2 linked regions of the Lepisosteus oculatus genome follow. The protein of the gene in region 1 purifies or fractionates together with the protein of each later gene. This does not show direct contact. Links are inferred from orthologs where the notes say so. Each region holds a gene or a part of one and is shown in the gene's direction. Other genes may lie near its edges. The genes, in order: swsap1 and spidr.

Evidence for each region.
Region 2: the proteins of swsap1 (region 1) and spidr purify together in Homo sapiens (co-immunoprecipitation; 3 studies listed by BioGRID and IntAct, with this or other methods). This does not show direct contact. The link is inferred for Lepisosteus oculatus from reciprocal best matches to the Homo sapiens genes SWSAP1 and SPIDR.

What each region holds. Positions count from the first base shown.
Region 1 is NC_090706.1:17,214,569-17,222,030, forward strand, and holds swsap1 (ATPase SWSAP1), read left to right. Parts: upstream 1-4,695; 5' UTR 4,696-4,784; coding exon 4,785-5,060; intron 5,061-6,102; coding exon 6,103-6,621; 3' UTR 6,622-6,962; downstream 6,963-7,462. Other genes in the region: znf653 (zinc finger protein 653), read right to left, coding at 447-627, 1,162-1,721, 1,838-2,119, 2,810-2,850, 3,673-3,965. UniProt on the Homo sapiens protein: ATPase which is preferentially stimulated by single-stranded DNA and is involved in homologous recombination repair (HRR). Has a DNA-binding activity which is independent of its ATPase activity.
Region 2 is NC_090701.1:46,923,625-46,931,230, forward strand, and holds the start of spidr (DNA repair-scaffolding protein), read left to right. Parts: upstream 1-4,351; 5' UTR 4,352-4,526; coding exon 4,527-4,544; intron 4,545-5,155; coding exon 5,156-5,320; intron 5,321-5,835; coding exon 5,836-5,905; intron 5,906-7,606. UniProt on the Homo sapiens protein: Plays a role in DNA double-strand break (DBS) repair via homologous recombination (HR).

The sequences.
Region 1 (7,462 bases):
ATTTTAACTGGATTTTCCTCCAGGTTTGTTAAAAGGCTCTGATAAAGAGAATCCACTAACCAGATCTGTGCAGCAGGGATTATATAGTCTACAGACTACTCTCAGACCAGCTGTTGATAAAAAACTGCAGAATTTAGATCTGAACCCACCCATCACGAGGATAAATTAACAGCTCATATGATTTCTCCCAATACATTCATTGTTTGTTCACCTTTTCTGTATCCCATTATAGTTTTACTAATTCTATGTTCTTTCTGCCTAGGCTACTCACATTAGCAGGTTAAACATCTCATTTAAAGATAGAATGGCTCTTTGCACACTGGCCTTCAATACACAAACACCGTGAACTGAAACACCTGCAGCTAGGCACACAGGCAGCAAAGATTAAGATCTCATCTACATAAACACACAAAGGAGCTGCAAGGTGACAACCGCCAAAGACTGACCTCTAGCAGTGTCCAAGCTCTGGACGACGCCCCTGTGCCCGAGCCCAGAATCGCAGACCTGGTTATACGCCACCCCCTCGATGACCGTGCAGGTCATCTCTTCCCCCACGCTCTCGCCCACGTTCAGCTGCAGGCCCTCTGTGGTCAGGGCCTCATAGCTGGGCCCTGTGATGATGATCACCTGCCAGGAGAAACAAGGAAACTGACTGAGAGTCACCACTCCCCCTCCCCGTAGAAACAGGTGGGAGGGACGGATCAGCAGTCCAAGACTGGTACAAACAGTTACAAAACCCAGAAAAATACTGAGCTTAAAAAGAAGGATATTTTAGGACCAACAGTGAATCAAGGAGACCACTGATTAAATCAAAGAACATAGGCTTATGGCTTAAACAGGGATTATTATAGGAATCTGGGCAATATAAGATAGCCAGTAGTGTTATTACAGCACACTGCCAGGGAACCTAGAAGAAAAGCATGCATGAGATCCTCATATCAATCAGCAAACCAGAAACAAGTGGGCTAAAGCTCTCCTGTTTGTATCCTTTCTTACATTCCACAGCAGGCATGCAATCAGAAGAGGGAGCGAGCCAGTAAAGAAGATGTGTCGACTATGAGCTCCGGAACAAGAGGAGGCCAAGACGTTTCGAGTTGCCTCGTTTCAGTGGATCCAGCTCTGATTGAGGGAAATGGGAAGGCCATGGGTGGGGGGTCCTACCTGGGATCCCTCAATGGCACCCTGGGCGTCGGGGATCTGACAGCTGGCCACCACGGTCTGCAGAGTCTGCTGGTCGTACAGCTCCCCGCCGCCGGTGATGTGCATGGTGGGGGGAGGAGGGGGCGCAGGGTGGGACGGATCCCGCCCGGAGTCCTCCGCCACCCCAACCCGCCCGTCTTTGACTGCCCTGTCCGTGAGGGCGGCAGTGACCACCATGCACTCGTAGTCCGTCTCGGCGGCCAACGCGCCCCCTCCCTTCTCCTCCTCCGGTCCCGCCGCATGCCGGCCCAGGGCTCCGGGACCCGATTCCGAGGATGCCGCCGCATTTTCCGGCTGCCCAGGGGGCTCGCCGGCCTTGTTGCCCTCCAGCACGGCCTCCCCCTCCTCCAAGACCACCTCCATGTTCCACAGAGACCTAGCCGCCGGGGAGTCCGCGTCGGCTTCGCCGGGATGGCCCGGCGGAGGCCCCTGACTGTCCTGCGCGATGGGCTCTGCTCTGGCCAGCTCGCCATCGCCGCCCTGCAGGCCCTCCGACATCTCCTCGGCCGTCTCCGTGGCGTCTGCGGCAGGAGAAAAGGGAAAGAAACCGTCACAGTCAACCCACGAAGGATGTACACGCAGAAATGTTGATTATTGTTGGCTTTTGGCGTCGGCTTTAACCGGTTCGGCCATTCACCCAGGTGGCACGCAGAGGCCGTTTTCCTCCTGGTGCAGGGTGCCACCCTGTCGCATGGCGGCGTGTCGGGCTCGGGCTCGTTCTCCGACTCGCTGGCATCCTTGCTGGGAGAGACCAGGTGCTGCATGTAGCCGTGGCCGGCCTGGCACTGCCACACCGCCGTGGTGGAGAAGCCCAGCACAGGCTCGAGGGCGTGCAGCTGGGGCTCGTGGGGGCAGGTCTTCTGGTGCTCCATGTACCAGCTGACCAGACTGCTCAGACAGTTCACATTGCTCTTCTTCCCTGAGGGGACACAGGCACAGACAGTAAAGCGCACGGCACCACTGTCAGTACTAGGTCTCTCTACTTCTTACCCACAAACACCTTTCCTCCCACAATCCAAAGACACGCTGATTGGTTAACTGGCTTCTGGCAAAGTTGGCCCTGGTGCGAGTGTGTGCTACTGTGTCCGCCCTGCGACGGACTGGTGTCTCGTCCAGGGTGTGCCCTGCCTTGCAACCAGAGCTTGCTGGGATTGGCTCCTGCTACTCATTGATCCTGTATTGTATAAAGTGGTTAGAAAATGGATGGATGGATTAATGCTTCAAGAGTCACAAGATTAGATGCAGGGTGTTTGGAGGGCTTAAATCTTAAACAGCTTAAATATAGGTCTTTGTAGCTTATTTTAGATATTATTTTAAATAGGAGTGTCTTGATAATACTAAGAACGATGTGCAAATTGTACAGGGCTTCTATTATTGTCTCACTTCAGCCACTCAAATTATCTAAAAAGCTTCAAGACCATGTTACAAAAAAAGTAACTATTTTAGCACCGAAATGTGCTCATTGAAAGGAGTTTGCTTTTACTTGGAAAAACGAGAAAATATTTACTGAAAAGTATGGGATACGTGCAGACATCAAATTAAAACAGCAACGGGCTTTAGCACATTTCTACAGTTCAACTACCTCTTGTTACCAACTGTTTTTACTAACCCCTTTTTGGTTTGACACAAAACTCCGCACTCAGCTTCTTTCTGAAAGACAAGAAGAGGGTTATGATACAGGCTATGGTTTAGACAGCAGTAAGTAATTGAAATAATTCAAAGAGGTCATTGCATTTTCCTATCCCCTTGCTGTAAGGTCAGTAGGACATTTTCTCACATCTGATGCAACAAAACAGTCTGAACAGACTAATGTGTTAAAATACCACAAGAAAACCCACACTGATCAGCAAGGCAAAATGAATAAGATTAAACTCTGTAAAATTAGAAATGGTTCAACGTGCAATGCAGTTTGGACATTACTTGGCTCACTCTAGCAATGTTTTACAGAACATTTATAGCTGTACTGCAGAAGTTACAAATGCAGATATCAGTGAGCAATTTTTCCTGGGTGAGTCAAAATTCGGCAATCGTGATGAGGGATTTAGGCGAAATATTTCAGTGCATTTGTAGGGGAATCTGAAAATCACTAGATTACGCTTCAGATCAACTAAAAATCCATGTGTTTTGCAACATAACATCTGAGCCAAGACATTTACATAAATAAGACATCTACAGTAATAGCACAGATGGACAAAATACCACTGTCACAACAACTAAGGTTAGATTAGAATTGACTGATTGGGAAGACTTCTCTATGAAGAAAAAAAGACTATAATGAGACAAAATTTATTGAAAAAATAAATTATCATATTGCTAGCAGCCAAAGTACCTGGTCGAGAGAGCACAGGGTTATTAAACTGAATATTAGGTTTGCACTAGTTCTGGTCGTGTACCATTTAGTAAGCTTACCCTTAAATGAAGCATGTTCTGCTCACAAGAATAATAATAAAATATTTTTTGTAAATGGCTTACCCGCCGTATTTCTGCTGGTACCTCTCGCCATAAATCGAGTCGAGCAGGATTAAATACTCGGCTAGTCCGGCGTCGCTTAAACTGGTCCGCTTCCGAAGTTCACTCCACAGTTTGTGCGACTCCCCGAGGTACACTCGCCGGACGTCGTACTTTTTCCGGGACTCCAATCGCCTCTTAGCTCGGTCCGTGTCAGTGAGGCGAGGACGTCCCCGACAGCGCCGCAGAATCGCCGAAATTTGGTCTCCAGCCTCCTGGTCTAGAGACGTCTCTTCCTCGGCACTCATGTGCGCCATCTTGGTCAACAGCTGTGTGTATGTTTCTGACCTTACCGGAAATAGTCAAGGTATGCGACTTGACCTCACCGGAAACACTGCTTGCAGAAAAATGATTGGATAGCGGCAATATATTTATTCTTTTTACTTTATTTCAGTACACATATTCAGTGTAATCACAAAATTGAAAGAACAGCATGGGACAAAACCAATTCCTCTGGCACTGTTTTTAAAAGTGGCAAATGCCGAGAGCGCTACAATACTGTTGTAGGCCACACACTGTTTTTTTCTTTTGATTAATCGAATCATTTCGCTCTAGAATTGCTGTACCCACGCTATTTCTCCTTGTACCAGGTTAGGCTGTAACATTAGTTTCTTCTTCGACGTTTATCTTTAACGCAAGCACACGCTAAGAGTAACAAAAAGTTCAAAACCGACTTTTCTTCTTATTATATTTTTAAAGCAGTCTGTCTGGATAACTTTAAGTATTTAATTTTTTAATCCTAAGCAAGGAGCTACATTTAATCAAACCAGAGAGATTCAACAGATCAACGAGACAACTGCATTTTTTTTAAATGTCAAAAATAGCTTGCACTTTAAAATCTCCGTTATCAAGGTGTCGTGAATATGTCTTCAAGTAAAAGGTGCTGCGGTTTAATCCTACGTTTCTTTTATCCAATGGGAACTCAAGACACCTGACATACGCACATCTCGCCCTATAACAGCTCGGGGGCGGGGCCTGACACAGCGCGGGAAGAGTTCACGTGTGGGTTTGTTTTCGGACCGAGCGGAGACAGGAAGTTACTCCCTTGTCGGCTTTGTTTCCATGGTAATGGCAATATGGCAGAACTCTTGACTTGGGTCTTCGATCGCTACAGTCCTCGGGGACGCGAGTCGTCTCCTTCTCTTTCTCCTCCTGAGGGAGAAGCCCGCTCACTGTCTTGTATCCTGCTGGGGGGCCGGGGTTGTGGCAAGACGTGCCTTCTGTTTCTAACAGCGGTGATGGCGGCTTCCGAACTGGGGCGGAAAGTCATCTTTCTGAGCCCCACTCCGATCCAGACCCTCCCTGCTCCGCTGATGGAAGCGCGGGCAGGCTTGGACCCCGCTAGCCTGAAAGTAGGTACCGTGCACATGTCTACGGGGGCATAAAACTTCACTTTGACGCTGTGTAGTCAAGGATATTGAAATGATTAACACCGGCTCTTACCCACGTCTGTAACAGAACTCTCAAATTTATTTTGATTTTTACAGAACGCAGAACGTGTAGTAAATATTGATAGACTGTGTCTATTACATCTTTTTTGTCTTCAGTCTGTTTTCAGTCTTCAGTGTATTAAGTATCTTTAAATCACTCAATATAGGTATTTCTGTCTTCAGTCTAGTAAATATTTTAATAAAAAGCCGTTGGAGACAGAAAAGCAGATGGCATCAGTTTCCAGCCTCCTTGGAGCCATCCTAGAACTAAGCAGATGAGAGCAGTCTCTGTCCTCTGGGGTCATAGCTCAGTCTCACCAAACGTACACGCCTGTGTCACCCTTCCAGCCATGTTCTCACTGCTTGCTCTAATTCAAGGTTGTGGGGGAGCTGGAACCTATCCAGGCAAGTGATGGGCACAAGGCAGGATACACCCAGGACGGGACGCCAGTCTGTCTCAGGGCACACACAGACATAAACAGATACACACTCACCCCACGGCCAGTTTTCCCAGAAGTCACTTAACCTATCAGTATGGTTTACGGTAGGGCTAGGAGGGACTCTTTCATTGTGCAAATCTGGACCCTTCATCCACTTGCAATGAATGATAATGGACACCTGACTGAGAAATGTGTTGGAATCTATACTTCTTGTGAGATGTTTTCTTTGAAATAAAGTTTATTTTGATTGAAAAAAAAATCAGTATGGTTTTGGACTGTGGGAGGAAACTGGAGCACCTGGAGGAAATCCACATGAACACAGGGAGAACATGCAAGCTCCACACAGACAGCACCCCAGAATTGAAGCCAGGGCTTTATTGGCAGCAGTGTTCACCACTCTTCTACCGTGCTGACCTACATTTCCTAACCACAACAATAATAATTATTCTTCTTATTATTACCATTATTATTTCTTACACTTATTTAGCGCTTTCATCTCATGATGTCCCCTCATGCATTTGCAGAAAATCAAGTTCGTGTACCCCCGGACGGCGGAGGAGCTTCTGCGGGACGTCGCGTGCCTGCACGAGGCAGCCGGCGCGCCGCCCTCCCTCCTCATCGTCGACGGCTTGGAGCGCTACCTGCGCTGGGGAGGGGAGGGCGAGCAGGCGCACCAGATGGCCGCGCGCCTCTCCGCCCTGCTGTGCGACACCGCCACCTTCCTGAGCCGGGCCCGCGCCGGGGCCCCCGGAGACCCCCCCGCCGAGTGCCAGCTCATCGTGTCCTTGGATACCCACCCGGAACGCGGAGCCGAGGCGTCGGGCAGCGATTCGGTCCTCTCCGTCTTCGAGCGCTACTTCCCCGTCAGGTGCACGCTGGGAAGAGACGCCAGCTGTGCAGGGACAAGAGCTTGCCGGATTTATTTCTCCGGTTTCCAGCAGACGGAAGGACGGGACTCTGGACTGGGACGCCAGTGGGAGCTGGTCTATACCCCAAGCGGAGCCATGGAGTTTACCCCAATCCCAGAAAAGAGCCAGGAATGAGATTCCCTTGTGGCTGGAAATGCACAAAACATTTATTCACTTATTTGGCCTAAATGTCTTTTGGATTTTGGAGGAGGTTATGGGTTTTGTGTCCTGTTGTGTGTGGGCAGGCTATTGAAACAGGGCAGTCGAGCACAAAAACAACAGACAAACTTAGAAGTTGGTTTATATGAAAAATCACATTCCTCTCATCCTGTTCGCAGCCAGCTCCTGATTGATCATTCCAAACTTTCCTGGCTATTCTCTTCCATCACCTGAAAATAGAAGCCTATAATGGCTCACCTGCGCAGATTCCCAGGCTAGGAATTCTGGACCATAATCCTGGAAAAGCCACAGTATGAAATAACCAAGTCGTACATTCAGGCTGGGAAAGTTTCAGATCCATACGGGTCCAAAAGAACTCTTACAGTGTACTTGAGTCATCTGTTATTCACACAGAGGGGGTCGGGCTTCATTTCTTTATTTCTAACAGAATGATCGGTATGCGCTCTGTGGGCGATGCCTCACCTGATAGTTCTCTCTGTATTTCCTCAGCACTGTCCTCCCGAGCTTGTTGAAGTTGAATTTTTTTCTTATGAAGAGCTTCTAGATACTTGAACTGAAAGATGAAGGAAAATACAGGGTTAATCAAAATGCGGTCGACAACTTTGATATTTACGCTTTTGTTTGAAACCTTTTTTATCACAGTAACCCATGTAATTAACGGTCAGAGTTTTTTAACAGTTACCTTACAATCCTTCACCATCTGTGGAGGAGAAAACAAAACCTTAGTAAAACAATTGACATTTATACTCGTTGACAACATTTTGATTAACCCTGTATATATTATAGAACTTAACAT
Region 2 (7,606 bases), on another chromosome or scaffold:
TTATCTCCGATTTGCTTTTATTTTTTAATCAGCCCTTACCTTATAAAATAGAAATAATAAATATATATATTTCCAATATCGCAATCCAGTTCACTTGCGCGTTAGCTTGGCTCCTACGATTTTTCACGATTTCTGTATCTTGTCTTTAGGAAACACCATAACAGCATGAAAACTGATCGCTGTTTCTGAATCAAACAAGACTGTACCCCGATTTGTTATGCTTTTACCTTATATTTGTCGAACCCGGCCAGTTGCTGCGGCGACACATAATGGTAGTCAAACATGATCCCTGCGCTTTGCAGCTCGCCAGTTTCCAGCAGGGTTCTCCGACCCTGGCGAAGCGTCACCACAGTTGAAACTATCAGGACCGCAGCTGCCTGCAACCTCACAGCAGCTATCAACTTAAGGCATCGGCTGCGTCACTTCCTGAGGAGAAACCAGGTGGAAAAAAACCCTGGCTTGCTCACCCCAGCTGGATTTGGGGTTTTTTATGCTGCTGTCACTCCTGTGCGGCAGCTGTGCGACCGCGTCTTCTGTGGTCGCGTCATGCGTGATGGCACCAACACGTCGGCACCAGGTCACTTCATGGAGACATCGCCGGGAGACGGAGCTTAGCTGTCTATCATGACTGACTCCGCGGTGCCTCAGGCCCCTTGTCTATTTTGTCGTCCAAAAACCGACATTTTCTGTCTGATGGCCCGCCTCTTCACCACGAATTGGTGGATAACAGCTGACAGCTCAGCAAACGATTAAAAAACATTTACACACTGTGTGTAAAACATTCTGGGCAGATAAATGGTATTGTGGATCAATATTTACTATAATTGTTACAGATTCTTATCAAAAGCAATTTATTCAGCGATGTTCTTTTACAAATAAAACCAACTGTCATTGGTTGTCACAGCAGCAGAATCAGTGTTTCCTAAACTTATCATGGATGTAAGGATTTGTATTGTTACAGTGAGTCTGAGTCTGAGAAGTCTATGGTGAATATAAAGTTTTTTCCTTCCTTCCTTTTAAGTTGCAAATGTGCTGAGACCCAGCAACAGATAATTAGGCTTCCAAGTTATGGGAAGTTATTGTGAATATTTTTAGGCTTCCAGTTTTTAAAGACTAGACAACCTGGAAACTCCATACTGAAACTTTGAGCTCACTAAGACAAATACAAGCCATTATCTTAGTGACAACAAATTCAGTGTCAACCAAGATGGAAACCAGACCTGCACATTCAAAGCTCAAAACAACATTGAATTTCTGTAGTTACAATGACATTTAGCAGACTTCATCAACAACCACATCTTTGGGGGAAAAAATGCTTTAGAAAAATTGTTATGGTAAGTTTTATCTATAATGAGCTATAATGTTTTGAGAAAAGCAGCTCTTCACACAAGCAGCTTCTGCTAAAATGCTGTCTGAGCACTGAACTGCAAACTTTATAGTCGTAACTCTCACTAATTGGAACACTGTAAGTGATAATGGATAGCTGTGTAAACAAAGCTGGCTCTTTGCAGCCATTTTCTTTTTCTGGATTTCGAGATTTCAACCCATAAAACTAAATCCCACTGTTTAAAAAAACATTTTCCAGTTCAGTCTGTAGTGTTATGATGGTTTCAATTTACTGAAATAATTAGGAACTGGGAAAGTGAACTCAGGGCATACCTTATAGCCACTGCCTTATGGGGACAAACACAATTATGAATACAGCAATACATATACAAAATAAATCAATAAAATAATTATATTTATGATTCAATCTGCCATGAAACACACAATTGATCAATCGTTCAGGGTTTACAAAATACTAAAAATAGCAGGTCTAGATTACATTACCTCGTGAATACGATTACATAAACATTCACACATTAAGACTATTTTCCTGAATTCCACTTGATCTAACCTCTTCCTGTACCCACAACGACTGTGCTCCTACACCACTACATACACCATACCTCTGACAATTGAATGTAAGCCGAACTTGAACTTAAAACTGTACTTAATTGTAGTTGTTCTATTTGATATTCACCGTATTATTTTGCACTGTTTTGCTCTGTTTATGTACTTTTGCACAGTTTTTAACAGATATGGGTACTGCTGCACTGGTACCGTACTGTTGTTTACACTGTTATTGTTATTGTGTTTTCTGTCCTGCACCTGAGAGACTAATGAGAAACACTTTTCATTATTCTATGCACCTGTGTAAGTATAATGAAAAATACAGTTGAGCTGAATTGCATCATGTTTGAAATAGCTGGTTAATTTTCGTTATTAAACATTATAGCTGGATCTGGCTGCAGCTGTCCACTCCTTGTCCTCATCTCTGTGCCGAAGGAGTTCCAGCTGAAGCAGGGACAGCTGAGTGGGGCCTCATGTTGAAGATGGCTCCTCAGAATGAACTTGGGTACAGCGGCAATTGAGACATAGATAGAAAGTTCACTTGCCTGTAATCAGTAGTTGCTATTCTGAATATTCTATGATATTCAGTGGTGCTGACAAAAGTTTGACTGTGTTATTCCATTGATCAGGCACAACTACAATTGGGAGCTTGTGGGAAAATGTCTGTTGTTGCAGATGAAGTCTTGAGTAGAATTAAGTTTATACAGGTCTCTCAGTCAGGCAGATGCTTTCAGCTAAGTTTGTTCCAGTTGTTCAAGCAATGGTGGATCCAGTCAAGAGATTAGTTAGCCGTCAAGTTGCCAAGGTTTCAAGAGTCACAGGGCTTCTCAGACTGTTGTGTAGAGCCTTTCCAGGTGCATCGTCACAGGTTGTGATATCAACAGGCGTAATGTTCATGTCATGTGGCCGCTTCCTCCTCGGTGAATCACTCTGGCCTTGACAATGGATTTGTAACAGATCACAAGCTGGGATTCAACTCAGATGTCTCCTCTTTTGGAAGACAAAAATTATGGAGAAGAAGAGTCCAATTTATGATGTCCCGATTTCTACTAACCAGTCAGCCCTTCCTATCGGCCAGCCCCTCATCTCCATCTCCCCAGTATTCCTAAGAAACTGACTTAAAGCAGTTAAGTAGTGCCAGGGTAATTTTCCCTTCAAGACAAGAGAAACATTGCGCAATTTCTGAGCAGTTAATTCAAAGTCTAATGATAATAGCTGCCACAACTCCAAAACTCCAAGCATGATGTCATTGTGCGGCGCATTAAAGTCTCACACACTGTCGTTCCTATGTATAACAAGATGGCCACAGGACCGTCATGCTCTCACAATTCAGACTGTCTCTGTCTGTCTTGGACACTACTTCACAGATTACGTCTGAAACGTGGAAGATTTCATGAACAAGTAAAGCTGTTAATGATGTGCACAAAAATGTTTACAAAAACTGTGCCTGTTGCCACCAAACAAATACAGGTATTTGGTGTCATTTTAGTGATAATAAGATTATCTACCTTAAAATAGTATGGCTGCCTGCCTGCCTTTTTGTCTCAAACTTCACACTGTTCAAATCATAGTGAGTGTTCCAGCTATTGACTTAAAACGTGGCAGAGACCATCATACGAAAACCTGCCTCAGACTTATATGTCTTATATGCAGCAACAATACTTGTTTTTGCCATAATGACCAGCTTAATGAAATGTATCCAGTACCACTAACTGCCTTTCTTCAGAAACTATTTGGCAAATAAACTCATAATCTGTCATATAATCTACAGTGTTTGGTATATTGAGATTTTCAGAAAGCTTCCGATAAAGTTCCTCATCAAAGATGAATTCTCAAATTTCAGGCTGTAGGTATTCAACTGTGTAAGGAAATACTGTACATTTTAATTCTCCATTAGTTCACCCAGAACACCCACACTGTTAAAGCAGGCGGGCAGAGGCTTGCTTGCAGTTCATGGTTTACGTTGCTGTCACTGCATGTAACACTTTGCTTCTGAACATTAAATGCAGATCTGCCACATTTACCAGGTGTAAAAAAGAAAGAAAGACCTTCACCTTACAGGTGAAAAAACAAAACACAACGTTTCGGCCGTGGAGCCACACATCTGAAGAAGGCTCCACGGCCGAAACGTTGTGTTTTCTTTCTTCTTTTTTCAGCATGGAGTAAACCTATTACTTATTCCTTTGCAGCCTACGCATGCTGACGCAGATACCCACCTGAACTAGGTAGTAGATGTATTGCTAATAATTTAGGCTTGTCCCAAATCTCACTTTTTTTTCTAACCAGATGAAGACGTTAAAGTCTTTTATCATTGTTGTTCAACCTAAACTATTCGAACCAGCTAAAACAGACGTCCGGGAATGAACCCTACATTGTACTGCATTCCCCAGAATACGTTGCGCAGCCTATGACGACACTTCCTCTTTTGACGGTTTGTCCAATCATCCACGCCAGTGAAGTGGCGCGCCAAGGAGAAAGTAACAGCATCACAGGAAGGTAAATAGTTAAAAAGACAGTACGGGAGGATTATGACTATTGTCACATTGTAGAGCAATTAACACAAATCACGGTCACAACAGACGAAGTAGCTGAAGACCGGGTTTGTACATTATGCATTAGTAAATGGAACAGCCATGTCTCTTTTTGCAAAGGTAAGTGGGACTTTTATGAACTTTGGCTGCGCAATGTGGCTAGTGACCAGAGTGGCCTGAAGTACCTTGTTGCAGAACCACGTTTCTTCTCAGTGTTTAGTTTTATAAACCGCTGTGCCAGGGTATGGAGCTGTTTTATCTCCTCTGGAGAGGCGTGCCAAGTGAAACGTGGCAGAAACTCGCTCTCCTCCTCTCGGCTGGATAGTGCTGAGCTGCGCTAGAGCAAGAGCCACCGGCTGAAAGCGAAAACAGCGTTTGTGCATCATATTCGTGTCTTTTCTCCGTTTCCCTGCTTATAACGCTACTGCATGTCCGCGGCAATTGCCCCTTATGAAACTTTTAATGAGCTGCTATTAAATTAATAATATTTACCGAATATTCCAGACTGTAATCCTTCGTGTTCTTATATTATTTATTTAACAAAAAAAAAACCGTATTGAAGGGTATTTAACCACAACAGTTGATCTTTCAATATAGCAGTCTGCTCAGTTAGGGCGCAGGACGTGTGCCAGTCACCTATAATAATAAAAAAAAACAACAACATTTCGCTGAAATGAGATCGGTGCTCGAAGGATTGTAAAGCGCTATGATTTTGGCTTGAATTCCGTTAGAGGAAGAGGAGATCGAGAGAAGTCAGACGCGCGGTCTTTCCTGACGATGTCAAGGACGGAGTGCAAACGCTGGGAAATGAGAGCACACGTCCTCCCTCCTCTGTTGCCAAGTCCTGGGAGCGCCGTGGGGACGGATTCAGGGACTGCCCTGTTGTCGAGGGACAGGTACGTAGCCCAACACTCATCACGAACAAGGAGATGCCTGCTCCCAGCCTATAGCTTAAAACCTCACCATGTATACAGCTTGTCACCTTATCATGAGTAAACGTGCACAAGCAGAGAGAGGCAAGGTGGCCTAGCACATAAGATAAGATCACTTTACTGGCCGTATACAATGTGTCTTTTCGCATACACCAACTTGTTCTAAAAGGGACACACAGACAGGGAGAGAAGCTTGGGGTCAGAGCGCAGGGTCAGCCATTTATACGTGGCCCCTGGAGCAGTTGGGGTGAAGGGCCTTGCTCAGGGGCCCAAAGGAGTAGGATTCCTCTGCCGGCCGCGGGATACGAACCGGCAACCTTCCAGCCACAGAGCCACCACACCGGCCTTGGCGTTACTGTCTTGGTCTCGGATCCTGGCTTCTACTGTAAATGTGCCGGTTGCTGCCATTTTTCAATGTTTTTTTATCGCTGAGTAATAGGTTGCCCTATTGCCCCTCTCCCTTTCGGTTTAATTTTCAGAAACTGGGCAGTTCTGGAAAGAAGTTAAGAGCTGTGAGGCAGTTGGTTCATTCTTCATTCTTAGCTAAAGGTAAGTGAATTGGCGGAAGCAAAGCCGAATTCTTGAAGGTCAGTTGAAAATACAATGTCTTTTGGATCTGTTATAGCACCGAAACCTGCAGAATGCTTGTGGGTATTTTGTGTGCACAGTCAATTTCAGTGTCCAGGTGTTTGGGTGAAACTGTTTTTTGTTTAAGAAACTAATACTTACCGGTATTCCGCCTGATTTTGAATAGTAGGTGTTGCCTTTTGTGTCTCAGATTGCATCTGCTAATATTAATAATTCCTCACACTTTTATATAGTGCTTTTCTGGACACTCCACTCAAAGTGCTTTACAGGTAATGGGGACTCCCCTCCACCACCACCAGTGTGCAGCTCCACCTGGATGATGCGACGGCAGCCATAGTGCGCCAGAACGCTCACCACACATCAGCTCTCAGTGGGGAGGAGAGCAGAGTCATGAAGCCAATTCATATATGGGGATTATTAAGAGGCCACGATTGAGAAGGGCCAATGAGAAATTTTGGCCTGGACGCTGGGGTTACACCTCTACTCTTTTCCAGAAACACCCCAGGATTTTTAATGACCACCGAGAGTCAGGACCTCGGTTTTACGTCTCATCAATCTCAAAAGGTCAGCGCCTGTTTACAGTATAGTGTCCCCGTCACTATACTGGGGCATTAGGACCCACATGGACTGCAGGGTGAGCGCCTCCTGTTGGCCCCACTAACACCTCTCCCAGCAGCAACCTTAGTTTTTCCCAGGAGGTCTCCCATCCAGGTACTGACCAGGCTCACGCCTGCTGAGCTTCAGTGGGCTGCCAGTTGTGAGATGCAGGGAGATATGGCAGTTGGGAAATGTAGTCAGACTCCACCGACCTGCCCACTTTGAAAGCAAGGGAACGTGAGAAACGTAGTGAATGAGAGGAGGCCTTTCAGCCCGTCTCTTCGGCACTTTAAGAGCTGAGTGACCAGGGGAAAGAACCCAGGATATTGGCTTCAGCACCTTGGCAGGTAGCTTGTTCCACACCTCCAGTACTGTCAAACACACAGATCAGAAGCGATGCTGTACTACCGGGATGCTAGGGGTGGACTTTACCCCATGCCTCTGGAAGAGACTGCACCAGTCACCTCAGAGTTTGGTATGAATGATACTGTTACCCATGGGCCACCTTCCAGTTTTCGCCCTCTGCCCTAAGCCCTTCCTTCAAGTCCACACTTCAGTGACACAGAGCAAGTGTGCGAGGATTGGAGGGGGCATCATTATAAAAAGAGTAAAGAAGTGTGGTTTCACAGCTCACGGTCAAAATGCCTTTTGTTGAACTGAATTTCATCTCATCTATGCCTGCACAAAAGTAGTGACACATTGTGTTCATGTTGAGCAAGCTCAACTCAAAACGGGCAAAGTAAACTATAGAAAACTTTTCAGTACCACTCAGGTTATTCAAAGCTGTGTACTACTACAAATACATTTAAAAAATGACAGTACGGTGAACATAACGAGCCCATTCACATTTGTTCAAAGAAAACTATATTAAACTTGGCAATACCTCAAAGCTTTGTACTATTAATGCATGTGCTATTAAATATTCCGTGTACAAAATATATTGCAGGTAAACTAATATTTATCGGTGGAAATGGGGTGACAAAATAAAGGGTTTACGTCAGGACTTTATACCTAGAATACATACAGTATGAATCTAAAGTCGCCTAATGAAATCCTGTCTTTACT